Linked DNA regions of Oryzias latipes. The protein of the gene in region 1 purifies or fractionates together with the protein of each later gene. This does not show direct contact. Links are inferred from orthologs where the notes say so. Each region holds a gene or a part of one and is shown on either strand. Other genes may lie near its edges.

What was found.
Region 2: the proteins of polr3g (region 1) and polr3b fractionate together in Homo sapiens (co-fractionation; 4 studies listed by BioGRID and IntAct, with this or other methods). This does not show direct contact. The link is inferred for Oryzias latipes from reciprocal best matches to the Homo sapiens genes POLR3G and POLR3B.

Annotation. Positions count from the first base shown.
Region 1 is NC_019867.2:16,254,726-16,261,140, forward strand, and holds polr3g (DNA-directed RNA polymerase III subunit RPC7), read right to left. Parts: upstream 3,861-6,415; 5' UTR 3,611-3,860; intron 3,481-3,610; 5' UTR 3,460-3,480; coding exon 3,349-3,459; intron 3,044-3,348; coding exon 2,914-3,043; intron 2,370-2,913; coding exon 2,304-2,369; intron 2,227-2,303; coding exon 2,167-2,226; intron 2,089-2,166; coding exon 2,024-2,088; intron 1,386-2,023; coding exon 1,275-1,385; intron 1,195-1,274; coding exon 1,105-1,194; 3' UTR 946-1,104; downstream 1-945. Other genes in the region: mblac2 (metallo-beta-lactamase domain-containing protein 2), read left to right, coding at 4,146-4,587, 6,143-6,357. UniProt on the Homo sapiens protein: DNA-dependent RNA polymerase catalyzes the transcription of DNA into RNA using the four ribonucleoside triphosphates as substrates.
Region 2 is NC_019864.2:21,486,659-21,492,357, forward strand, and holds part of polr3b (DNA-directed RNA polymerase III subunit RPC2), read left to right. Parts: coding exon 1-73; intron 74-182; coding exon 183-257; intron 258-802; coding exon 803-901; intron 902-972; coding exon 973-1,100; intron 1,101-1,957; coding exon 1,958-2,167; intron 2,168-2,286; coding exon 2,287-2,445; intron 2,446-3,673; coding exon 3,674-3,791; intron 3,792-3,886; coding exon 3,887-4,029; intron 4,030-5,699. UniProt on the Homo sapiens protein: Catalytic core component of RNA polymerase III (Pol III), a DNA-dependent RNA polymerase which synthesizes small non-coding RNAs using the four ribonucleoside triphosphates as substrates.

The DNA.
Region 1 (6,415 bases):
TCTGAACAGTTTCTCTTTTTTTTTAATGGTTTTAAGCCCATCAGACACTAAATATGGGTTTGTCAAGATTATTCAAGAGTCAAACTGTTTTTAAACTTGATATTCTTTGATCAGTTTCAGAAAGGGACATTTGATTTGTCTATGCTAACAATTTTTTTTTTTTTAACTAACAAGTTCAATTCTTTAGTTGCTAATTTGTAAACCTTAACAGCCCACAAAAGTCTTGAATATCCTGCTTTGGACAGTGGAGACAAAAGGAGATGTTTGGACAGTTTTGTGGGAAGTTGACATCTTGCTGTCAAACATTAACTCTCAAGCTGATGAGAGGTTTTTTTTGTTTTTGAACTCAAGATTCAGCAGGAAAATGCCTTTATCAATTTGACTAACAGCAAAGCAGTTTTGTTGCTTCAGTAAAATGTCCAAAAGAATGTGATAGTTTAAAGACAAAAACAAAGTTTGCCACATTCGTTCTGCAAGATGTCATACATGAAACTATAACAAGATTTTGCTAATAAAGATGGCTACAAATGCTTTTAGAATTAGTTGCTGTGAGGTTTTTTCTTCCCAGTGAACCATCTGTTTGTAAAAATCAGGTCTAATTTTTTTTTTACAAAATTTCTTCTGGAAGAAATCTTAATGTTTTCCTTTGTGCACACGTGAAATACTATTGTGTTAAACTATGACGGGGTTTTAAACTATTGTCAAGACTGAGCTTCAGTGATACTACCAGTATTGAATTTTCAATGAAACCTTGTTTTATCCAAGTGTCCTGAATCTGGCTGGACATGAAACTGTGGTAAAACTGCATATGTGCATCAATATCTTAATATGCAATGTTCCCAGATAAATTACCTAAATGTTATGTATTGTACAGTTGCTATCCTGTGACAGTTTTGTTGACTGTGTGCCTTTCAAGTTGGAAATATACTGCAGGCTTAATAAATATCTATTTTGAATAATTTATTTTTTGAAGTCTGCATATTTATGCTTATATATACATATCCATTAAATAATTACATGGCGTAAACATGAAGTTACTTGGCTTACGAGCTTTAGCTAAACAGACATTTCATATGCAACTGTCAAAGCCATGCAAAATGGGCTTCAGTAGGTTGCTTCCCCATCCATGTTATCGTCACTTTCAGCAGCAAAATCTTCACCGTTGTCAAAATAGCTTTCAATGTAGTCATTTTCCTGAGGAGCAACAAGCAGATAAAACATTAGTTGCATCAAATAAGACCAATGCAGATTTTCCACTATTCCTGGGACCAAACCTCTTCTATGTCTTCTTCGAGTTCTTCCTCTTCGATTTCTTCATCGTCCTCTGCTTTCTTCTCAGTTTCCTCATCTGACTTCTCAGGATTTTCATCTTTCTTGGCCAATTCCTGAGCAGATTTTTTGGGGTGGGATTCAAACTAAATGGTAGGCTTTCTTCCCATTTAAAAAAAAGTCTACATTTTCACAGCAGTTCTCTTTGTTCTGCTTGGCAGTATGGTTTGGGCCAATGTGTTTAAAGCCGATCAGTTAAGGAAGAAATGTTCAAGTCTGAACAGTTTCCTTTTTAAATAGATTTAAGCCCATCAGACACTAAAGATGGGTCTGTCAAGATCATTCAAGAGTCAAACTGTTTTTAAACTTGATGTAATTTGATCAGTTTCAGAAAGGGACATGCGATTTTTACTTTTTTTACCAATTCAAAATCAGAAGCACCAGTACAATAAGCGTTTTTCAGTCTAATGTTGGTATTAAAAAAACAGGTAAAATTGTGCCTTATATTTTACACAGATGTAGACTTCTGCAAAATCTTGCTAAAACTTCGTACAACCATAATCTTTTTTCACATGGCTTTAAACTATTCTGTCCTTATGGCAGTTTCCAAACTAGATTTTTTTATTTTAAAGGCATGTGCCTACTAACTTCAGCACCGAATGACAGCGCCTAAAGACATCCTTGTACAAAGTTCAATTAAGAAAAAAAAACATTTAAATAGTCTAAAAAAGCTAAAGAAGGAAGATAGGCTTACATCCAGTTTACTGAGCACATTGGCTTTATCTTCCTTCAACTTCTTCACAGTTTTAGTCTTGGTGCCTGAAGCAAAAAACACTTTTTAAATAAATAAAAAACACGCATTCAACATTTCCTGCATGCAATGTGACTTTAATTTACCTTTCTTAATTCTACGTTTTTTACTTTGGGGCATCAGTTCTTTGGGAAAAAGGTTCCAGTCTGAAATGTGTGACACGATGTTTGCATTACTTTACATGACACCTTTTGAAAAAAAAATTTCCATCTAAAGCAATTACCTGGAGTCCATTCCTCACTGTTAATCTGGGCTTGTTTCAAGTATCTTTCAGTGTATTTCTCCACCTCTGTTTCATGTAAACAGAACAACAGAGTACATTTGAAAAAAGTATCAGATCAGTGAGAATTTTTTTACTAAACATAAAAGATAAAAAACAAATGAAAGTTAATCTCTGGAATCAATTCATTGCTACAGCAAAAATAAATTTATTGTTTAGACATTTATGCATTGTACCAAATTATTTGTTCATAAATGAATCTTAAAAAGTATTTTCTAATGATCAAAAGTCTGGAACCTGGATTAGAAATTGTCTTTTTTTTAACAGGTGACTTAAATTAAATGTACTCCTTTAAGTTTTTTCTTGGGTTTATGTCATAGACCAAAGAAAATTAAAGATGTTTAAAATATCTGTAATGATGGACCCCTAAAAAAACAACAACAATTGAAAACTTCATAATGAGGCATAAGCAGTAACTATAGAATCTCATTTCTCTTATGTATAACACTCATAAAATGTCTGATTTCCCAAAAGCAGCAGTTATCTCCACTTCCAGCAGCCCAGAATTATCTTGACGTAGAAATCTCTCATATGTCAGCACTCTCCCCCCTACCCGTTTTGCTGGAGCAAGCTTTAATGTTGTGTGGTAGCCTCTGCATTGCTCCTCTTAATTCCTGTTTTAACGCCAGCATGTAGTCTTCCTCTTCACCTCCTTTGAGTGGAACCGGTTTAAATTCAGTAGTCTAAATAAGGGCAAATGATGCAAGATATTTATTACAGTGACACGTTTCTTGTTTATCTGAAAATTGGTGTAATCCAAGCAGGCAGTCATTCTCAGAAAGTGTCCATAAACCAAGTGTTTGACACAAAATAGATTACATCATAGTTTGCTTTCTGAGCACATTTTACAAAGTACTGAGACTACACAGGGAGAGTACACTAAAAGCCCTACGTTGATGACACATGCCAATTTATTTTACTTAAATAAAACTTGAATTTTTGCTAATTAAACCTTCCATCTTTCCGTGTTTGTGTGGCATTTACTTACTGGAAACAGTGGACTGGGCCCCACCCTGGCTTCTGGCATGTTGCCTCTGCCAATGCCCAGAGCATCAATGTTGAAGGTAAACGCAGCCACCCCGCGGCCTTTGCCTGCCATGGCTGCGCCCCTGACCACGACCTGCAACACACGGTTCATCCTCAGGCAAGCACCGTCATTGACAAGCACGTGCTTGCCGGTATTGCACCATTGAGTCCGCTATGAGAAATGACAATTTTTCCCTGATATATATTTTTTCATAAATACTTACAGGAGGCCTGCTGGTAAAACTCTCCTTTTATGGAGACGTGAGATAAAAAAATAAAGTTTTATAACTATAAATGACACGTGTTTCCCAATGAAATCTTATTGAATTTGATTTATTTGTTAAAGCTAAACGGTCCGAGTTTGTGGCTTAGCGGTTTAGCTTACATTTAGGCGAAAAAGATAAGTAAATAAACCTATCGCTTCTTTCTATGGTTTTTTTGTGGAACCGGCTGGGAAACGCATGTGTAACCAATAGACTAGTCAGCGTGAGCAGATGCTTTCCCCTCTCCGCCCCTGCTTACGTCCCAATAGGGCGTTTCTTATTTTCGTCCAATCGCTGCCGCGTTCACATCTACCGTCATTTCTCACTTCGACCAATGGGCTGGCTGCTTTCAAACAAGGGTGTGTGCGGCCACCATCATTACAGCTTCAATGAAACCACACTGCTCCTAGCTACGAGGCTACTAACACTGTTGTGCTAATTCAGCCGACGGCGCGTCTCCCTTCCGAAGCTTACCTCGACATTTGCATGTCCTGGGATGTCTGCAGCCGACTGGTACGCCCACAAGTCGCTCGGAGACGGACTATTCTGGATCCAGGAGCGGTTTTATCAATCGGACAACCGGGCCAACATCTGGTTGCTCCGCGGTTCGCATCAGGACGTGGTGATAGACACCGGCCTGGGGCTGAGGAGCTTACCTGACTACATCGACTCCAAGGGGCTGCTGGGAAAAGACCCGCAGAGGAAGAACCCGCTGCTGGCCATCGCCACTCACGCCCACTTCGACCACTCGGGGGGTCTGCATCAGTTCCAACAGGTGGGCGTCCACAGCGCAGAGGTCGATGCGCTGGCCAACGGAGACAACTTCGAGACGGTCACCTGGTTGAGCGACAGGGAGATAGCCGAGCGCCCCAGTCCAGGGTGGAGAGCAAGGAACTACAAAGTCAAGGCTGTTCAGCCCACGCACATACTGCAAGAGGGTAGGCAGGGCATCTGTCAGCACACATGTGGTGCTTGGTGCTAGTGGGGGCTAAATCTGGGGTCAAACCTACAACTTAAAAACTTCATTCAGTGTATTAGAGTTTCAAAATCCTTCTCATTCTCAAACCAAATTTCTGCAAAACGAAATTAACAGATGGCCCAGTGACAAGCCAGACACAAGAAACCAGACTTTCAAATATTTGCACATGGGTGAGGTTGGGATACTGTGTGGTCCTCACCATTGTCTTGGCTCTCTTCCTGCAAAGCTGATCTATTTTTAAGTCACCATGCTGATGACTTTGGCAGATTCTGTTACTTTCAGGAATGAGTGTGTAGGTTTTTCTCACACACACAGCAAAGCACTGGGATATTTATCACCCACCATCCTGTCTGTGAATAAGTATATTCTGGACATAAGCATTTTCTAAACCAGGGCTCCTCATTCCTGGTACTCGAGATTTATCGCCCTGCCTGTTTTCCATCTCTCCCTGCACTGCTTGCTGCTGACTACCTGGAGCAGGTGTGTTCATTCAATCAGAATGTGGAGACATCTGATTGAGCTAATCATCCGCTAGCAGGACTTGGAGATCTGGAAAACCGTCAGGGTGGTAGATCTCGAGGATCAGGAATGAACAGCCCTGTCTAACCCTTGTGCTATCCTATGGGGTCAAGATGGCCATTGACGTGTTCTCCCTACCGTGGATAAAGATGGAGAGGATTTCATGTAATCCATGGAAACCAGTGAAGATCACAAATCATTAAAGAAAAAAGGTTCAGCGCGCTGTCTAGTGGGGTCTAGATTAGATGACCTCACTCCCAATGTCAAAGTGCCTAGGATACCACAAGGGTTAAAGCATACATTTACACAGCACTCTGCACTTACATCAGATCTGCATTTGTGCAGAGCAGCTCCAACTGTTGGACTGTGGTCAAGATTTCATAAATCAATACGCAGCCTTCTGCTGTGTCAGAGCCACTGTTTTTGTTTGTTTTTGTGTGTTAGCCTTTATGAACTTAAGTTCCATCTCATTTATAACCCATAGAGTTTATTTTTCTAATGTCAGCCCACCCTTTGTATCTATAAAAGCTTCAACTGTCCTGGGATTTTTTTCTACAAGCTTTAATGGTATGTTTACAGAAATGTTAGACCATTCTAGAAGTGCATTTGATTTGTTGGTTGAAAACCAACAAACATTTTTCGCTCTAATTCATTCCAAAGTTTTTCTATCCAGTTGAGTTGTGGACCATGCAGAAGTGACTCACCATACACTCTCATCTATGTCTTTATGGACTTTCTCTGAGCCATCCTCAAAGCTGATCCCATACAGTTTGGATCACAGAATTGTCAAAAATGTCTTGGTATTGTCTTGAACTATCACAATTGCAGCCAGAACAAAGGCTTCCTGGCAGCACATAAATTAAATTCCAATTGAATTAAATAGGTGAGTGAAAACAATATGGTGCTTAAAAGGGGGATGGAGTTTTAATATTCGCCTTCGTAGAATTGGAATGTTGTTATGGATGTCTGTGTGAAGAAGTATGATCTCACTTTAGGGGATGTCATCAACCTCGGCGACAGACAGCTGACCGTTCTTCACATGCCAGGCCACTCTCGGGGAAGCATCTGTCTGCACGATCACGACAACAAGTTGTTGTTTAGTGGGGATGTTGTGTATGATGGCTCCATGATTGACTGGCTGCCCTACAGCCAGGTCAGTGATTACATCAGCAGCTGTGAGCGCCTGGTGGGGCTGGTTGACAGTGAGCAGGTAACTCTCAAGTCATTTCAAATATCATTTATATATTTTGTACCAGGGGGTGGAACAA
Region 2 (5,699 bases), on another chromosome or scaffold:
AGTTCGTGTCCATCTCTACCAACCTGACCGACCGCTGCGTGTACATCTCCTCTGACGGAGGACGACTCTGCAGGTAGGATGTCTGGGAAAGGATTCGCCACATCAAAACTGTTCAGTACAAATAGAAAACAGATCTTTTAGTTTAGGACAAAACTCTTAAGACTTTTCATTGAACTCTGCAGGCCGTACATCATCGTGAAGAAAGGACAGCCCATGGTGAAGAGCAAACATATTGAAGATCTTTCTCAGGGTTACAGGTGAGTTTTTGTCACAAAAGGCCCCCCCCCCCCCCCTTTTTTTTTTTTGAGGATCACAGCCAAACATGTTTTAGCAAAGTAGGTTTTAAAAATAAAATTGTTTAAATAATAAAGAATTGGTTTTGTATTATTGCTCAGTTGCACACTTTGTGTTTCTAATTTTCTAACTTTATTAGAAACTGAATTAGGCAGAAAATTCATAGAAAATAAAGTTTGTGCATTGCAAATATTATGAAATAAACGGAAATGGATTTTGTGCATAGAAACACGTTATATGAAGGCTTTAGTAGTTTTTTCTGATATAATATAATGAACTTTTGTGACTTGTGTACTTTAGTTTGAAATTGAAGCTAAATCATACTTCGTGTAGATAATTTGAAGTTTTTATTTCAAACACTGTTGATGTATTTGACCTTTAGCCTGTGTCCCAGTCTAATGTGTGACTAGTAAAAAAATACATCTTTGTCATGAATTAATGTAAAGCACCAGCATGTGATCTGTTGTAAAAAATCCTTGAAACAGCAGATTTGAATGTTTCCTCTTAGAAACTTTGAGGACTTCCTGCACGAAGGCCTGGTGGAGTATCTAGACGTCAACGAGGAGAACGACTGTCAGATCGCCCTCTATGAACACATGATCAACAAGTGAGTCACAGCGAGCTTTCAAGAAAGCGCCCTGGTGGTTTGAGTCAATCATTACACCTTTCCTTCGGCAGAGAAACGACACACTTGGAGATCGAGCCGTTCACGCTGCTTGGAGTGTGTGCAGGCCTCATTCCCTACCCCCACCACAACCAGTCGCCCAGGAACACGTACCAGTGTGCTATGGGCAAGCAGGCCATGGGTAAGGCTTAGCAAAGCCGTTTCTTTATTTTATTGTTACATCAGAAATGTTTTTAAGTTCAGATTTGAGTTTGAACAAGTGAAAAGTAATTAGAAATACAGCATGCTGGTTTGTCCCCCCCAAAGCTCTCCTCCTTCATGTCAGAATACATTTGTATGTGTGATTGAGTGTTTGTCTAATGTGTGTGTGTGTGTGTGTGTGTGTGGGTTGAGGTGTGTATGCGCACGGACATCAAACATGGGGCGTTTGCGTAGGTTCTCATTGTGCTGTGTGTGTGGAGGCCCTTTCCCTGCCAGTCACCCAGAGTGTCATTAGCAATTCATTGTGTCTGCTCTGGCAGTGCTCGGGGGGTCAGTGTGCTCAGCTGCAAAAGACCACAGAGTGTGCACCCGCGGCTCCTTGGTAACCAAAACTTCCCCAAACGGACCTGCTCGCATTCGTAGGAATCGAGCCCCCCCCCCGTGCTACACGTCCGTCCGACCCTTCCTCCCCTCCTCCCATCCTTACAAAAACACTGACTGGAACTATATTTGGCCCAATATCCTCTGTGTTGTCTGTTTTGTATAGACAGCTCCATACATGTGCAAATCTGGTTGTGTGGCCTGAGCCTATTATCACAGACTCTCTGCTTGTTGGCTGATTGTTAAGTAATAGCATCTGACAAATGTCAAAGCTGCCGGGGAGGCCGGGCTTTATGCCATAACTGGCTCCTCTGTGAGCTAAATGGGCCCAGTTCAGCACCTCTACAATTTACTTTAAAGATTGAATCAATCAAATATTATAGAAAATGTAATAAAAACAAAATGATACATTTTATCACAGAAGATTTTGGAAGGTCTTATATTTTGTGTTTCCAGGAACCATCGGCTACAACCAGAGGAACCGCATAGACACCCTGATGTACCTGTTGGCGTACCCTCAGAGGCCCATGGTCAAAACCAAAACCATCGAGTTGATTGACTTTGAAAAGCTGCCTGCGGGTCAGAATGCCACTGTGGCAGTGATGAGCTACAGCGGCTACGACATTGAAGACGCTCTAGTCCTCAACAAAGCCTCGCTTGACAGAGGTGGGAGCTTCATTTTTCTACCACTTTTTTTGTTTTGAAAACTCTTGACTTTAGTCAGAAAGGGCATGTTTAACGACGCCAGTCGATCTGAGGTCTAATCTTTGACTGTTTCCTGACAGGATTTGGTCGATGCCTTGTTTACAAAAATACCAAGTGCACACTGAGACGGTACACAAACCAGACTTTTGACAAAGTCATGGGGCCCATGCTGGATGCTGCTACACGCAAACCCCTTTGGAGACACAACATCCTGGATGCTGATGGCATTTGCTGTCCTGGTGAGTACCAGCTGAGCGGGAGGAGGCACAAGTTTTGCATCAAAATCTACGGCGGCAACTATTTTGATTGTTCATTTAAAGATTTCGCTTTGAGTGATTCCGTTTTTCCCAGCTTTTTTAAACCCAAGATCTATTGGAATCATGCCTTTCAAATCGATCAATTAATCAAGCTTTATTTATAAAGCATTTTACAACAATCACTGATTGAACCACAGTGAAATCAATTGAAAGAGAGACGAGCAATTGAATGTTAAAAACTGTTGGGACTGTGCACTCCGACTCTGCGGCTCCAGGTGGAAGAGAGACCTAATCATGACCTTTCCACCTTTATTTTTGATGATTTGTATGAAATGTTCTTCATCACCAGAAGTCTTCAGCTTTGTTCTACCAGCTTGAAGTTCTGATGCAGTTTTGTGACAGCTAGAGAGACTCAAGTTTCTTCTGGGAATTCTTCTGAGTAATATTTAGAGTTTGAGTCCTGCAGTTTTTGCATTCATTAGACATTAGACATCATGGATAGACAGATAATGGATGAACTTTTGGATGATCATCAGTGGTAAAGATGATCCCTTTTTTGGGCTTAAAGGGCCAATCTGATGAAAACTGTGTTCTTGGTGTTTTTTTGTTCTTGTGGCATTTATTTAAAGGAGATACATGAAGAAAATTAAGCTTAAAATTGCATTTCTGGGTATTTCTTCATTCAAATTGTTGTGGATCAGGAGAAAACGAAAAAATGTCGTCTGAACAAACAGCCACAAGCTCCCTGCTCCGCTCCATTCTAATGTGTCCACTATATCCATCTACCTCTTTGTTTTCCTCGTCTGAGCTGATATCTGACTGCATGGCTGGATAGCTCCATTCTCTCTCCTCATTTTTATTGCACCGCTAATCTTAGGTTGGGGTTGTGAGGGCCTGTAAGCTAGCGGGAGAGAGTGTAGACAAAGGGATACTGGGAAATAAAGAAAAGCTTACTTTAGTACCAAGAGACTTTCTCAGAGGTGAAGGTTCTCATTCTGGAAGCGATCACTTATTGACTCATTTCAAGTCATTTGTTTCTCAGTTGTTATAGTTTTTTGGAAATACGTATTTGTTTTTATGCGAAAGTGCCGGCCCGGACGTTTTGAATTGTATCTATAGATGAGGTACTCTTCTTTTTTATTTATTTTTGTGTGTGTGTGTCTTTGCAAAGCTTTTGCTAACTTGGTTTGGTGTGCTGGGATTGCTTCAGGTGAAAAAGTGGAGAACAAACAAATTTTGGTGAATAAATCAATGCCAACTGTCACTCAGACGCCACTGGAGGGCAGTGCCCAGCCAGGCCAGCCCCAGTACAAAGAAGTTCCCATCAGGTGAGTTTCTGCCCCCAACTCCCTCCCCACACCACCAATAATCCTTCTGTTCAGCTGTAAACATCTGAATCTTCAATGATGCTCTCTGTTTGCAGCTATAAAGGTTCCACAGACTCGTACATCGAGAAGGTCATGATCTCCTCCAATGCTGAAGATGCCTTCCTCATCAAGATCCTGCTGAGGCAGACCAGGAGGCCGGAGATTGGAGACAAGTTCAGCAGTCGACACGGGCAGAAAGGTGCAAACCTGACGGCGTTGACATGTCAGAACTGCCAGGAAAATACAAAAGCCTCGCGTTGATGTCACCAACTCTCAGGCCAGCTCCTGGAAGACAGGAATTGACTGTATCAGCAGAGGAAAACCATTTGTTCCATCTGTTCCTGTCACTGCCCCCCGTCCGCATCTCTCAAGAGCTCCTTTCAATTAATTGGCTCTTTGTCCCGTCCCAGACTATGCAAATTTATTACACCCCTGCAGTATTCTGCTGCTACTGGGGGAAAAAGTGTTTACAACCTCCATTGTTTTGCAGCACCTCCCCTAAAGAGGTCTTCTATGATGTTTTAATCAAAAAGCTAACTGGCGCCATGCATAAGTTACTCTCTTCATTAAGGCGGTGGGCGCTGGGCGGTCAACTCGGGGTGAGACAATGTCTTCCGTCTCAGATGATGACGAAGATGAGGGTCGCTGTGGGGTTAGCTGAAGGAGAACCCGACACACGCACCCAGATGTGCAACAGCTGGCCTTTACACCAAAATTTACTCTAAAAACAGGAAAAGAAGTTGGAAAATGTAAAGTTTTTTGTTATATCCTAACTTTATTTCCATTTTTATACTTCAAAGGGTTTTAATGAACCTGAACAATAATTTCATTACAAATAAATGTGGCTGTGGTGATGGATCTCCCAGCTTCACGTGACTTCTCTGAACCAGCGGAGCAGAATAAGTCAATTATTAACCAGTCACACACACACACACACTCAGCTGCGGAGGTGGTAATGGGGGGGTGTAAGGGTTGTCAGTATTTGGGTCTCATTGTGCAAAGCCGTCAGTATGGAGCTGTATGAGCTGTGATGGAGGGCTCTGGACCCTTGCTGTTGTCTTGCCTTTCTCTCCTGATTTCATGCCTCTTTTATCATTCACTTTTACACAAAACAAACAACGCCGAGCATGTCTGCTTTTGGAGCCAGCTCTTACTTTCTTCACCGCTTTCCTCTTCCTTTTTTCTCTCTCCTTTTTCCCTGATGTTGGGCCTTTTTTTTTTCTCTCTGCCCTTTCTTTCTCTGAGTTTCTCCTGGCGCTGCCTTACTCGCCTTTTTCTCTTTTCTTTTCACCTTCTTCCTGCTGTTGGATGACTTTCCACTAAATGGCCGCACTTGTTCCCACTCAGCATCCTGCTGCAGCATCCTGTAAGGCCTTAGCTGTAGCCGAGCGCTGGCCTAATGGCAAATTTTCCCCACGTGCACCAGTTCAATTTCTTCATCTCCGGTTGATCCCTCACTTCCACCCAATGAACTGCACGTCATGGGGGCATAATCCCGGTCTCCCTGTTAAGCTAAGCACCTTCCGCTACTTCCTGCTCGCCTCTCTTTGCTCCATATTCTTTTTTTTTTTTTCATTTGCAAATGAGTCTACAATCAGTTTACCCTGGCCGGGGAAGAGTGCTTCAGCCCCTCAGCAAACATTTGCACTCGCACTTAAACTGCTGACTAGCAGGCAGCTTGTCCCCCTCATCATGCCAGTCAAAAGAGAGACTGTCCACATGAGCGTGGAAATGCCGTCCTCTGCCAGAGGACTTCAGAGATCCTCTTACAATCCACGACAAAACTGTTTCTCTGCTGTCCGCCTTTCCCAAACTGATTTAGGCACCAACGTTTGAACGGAAAGTGCATCTCATTGTATAATAAATTGT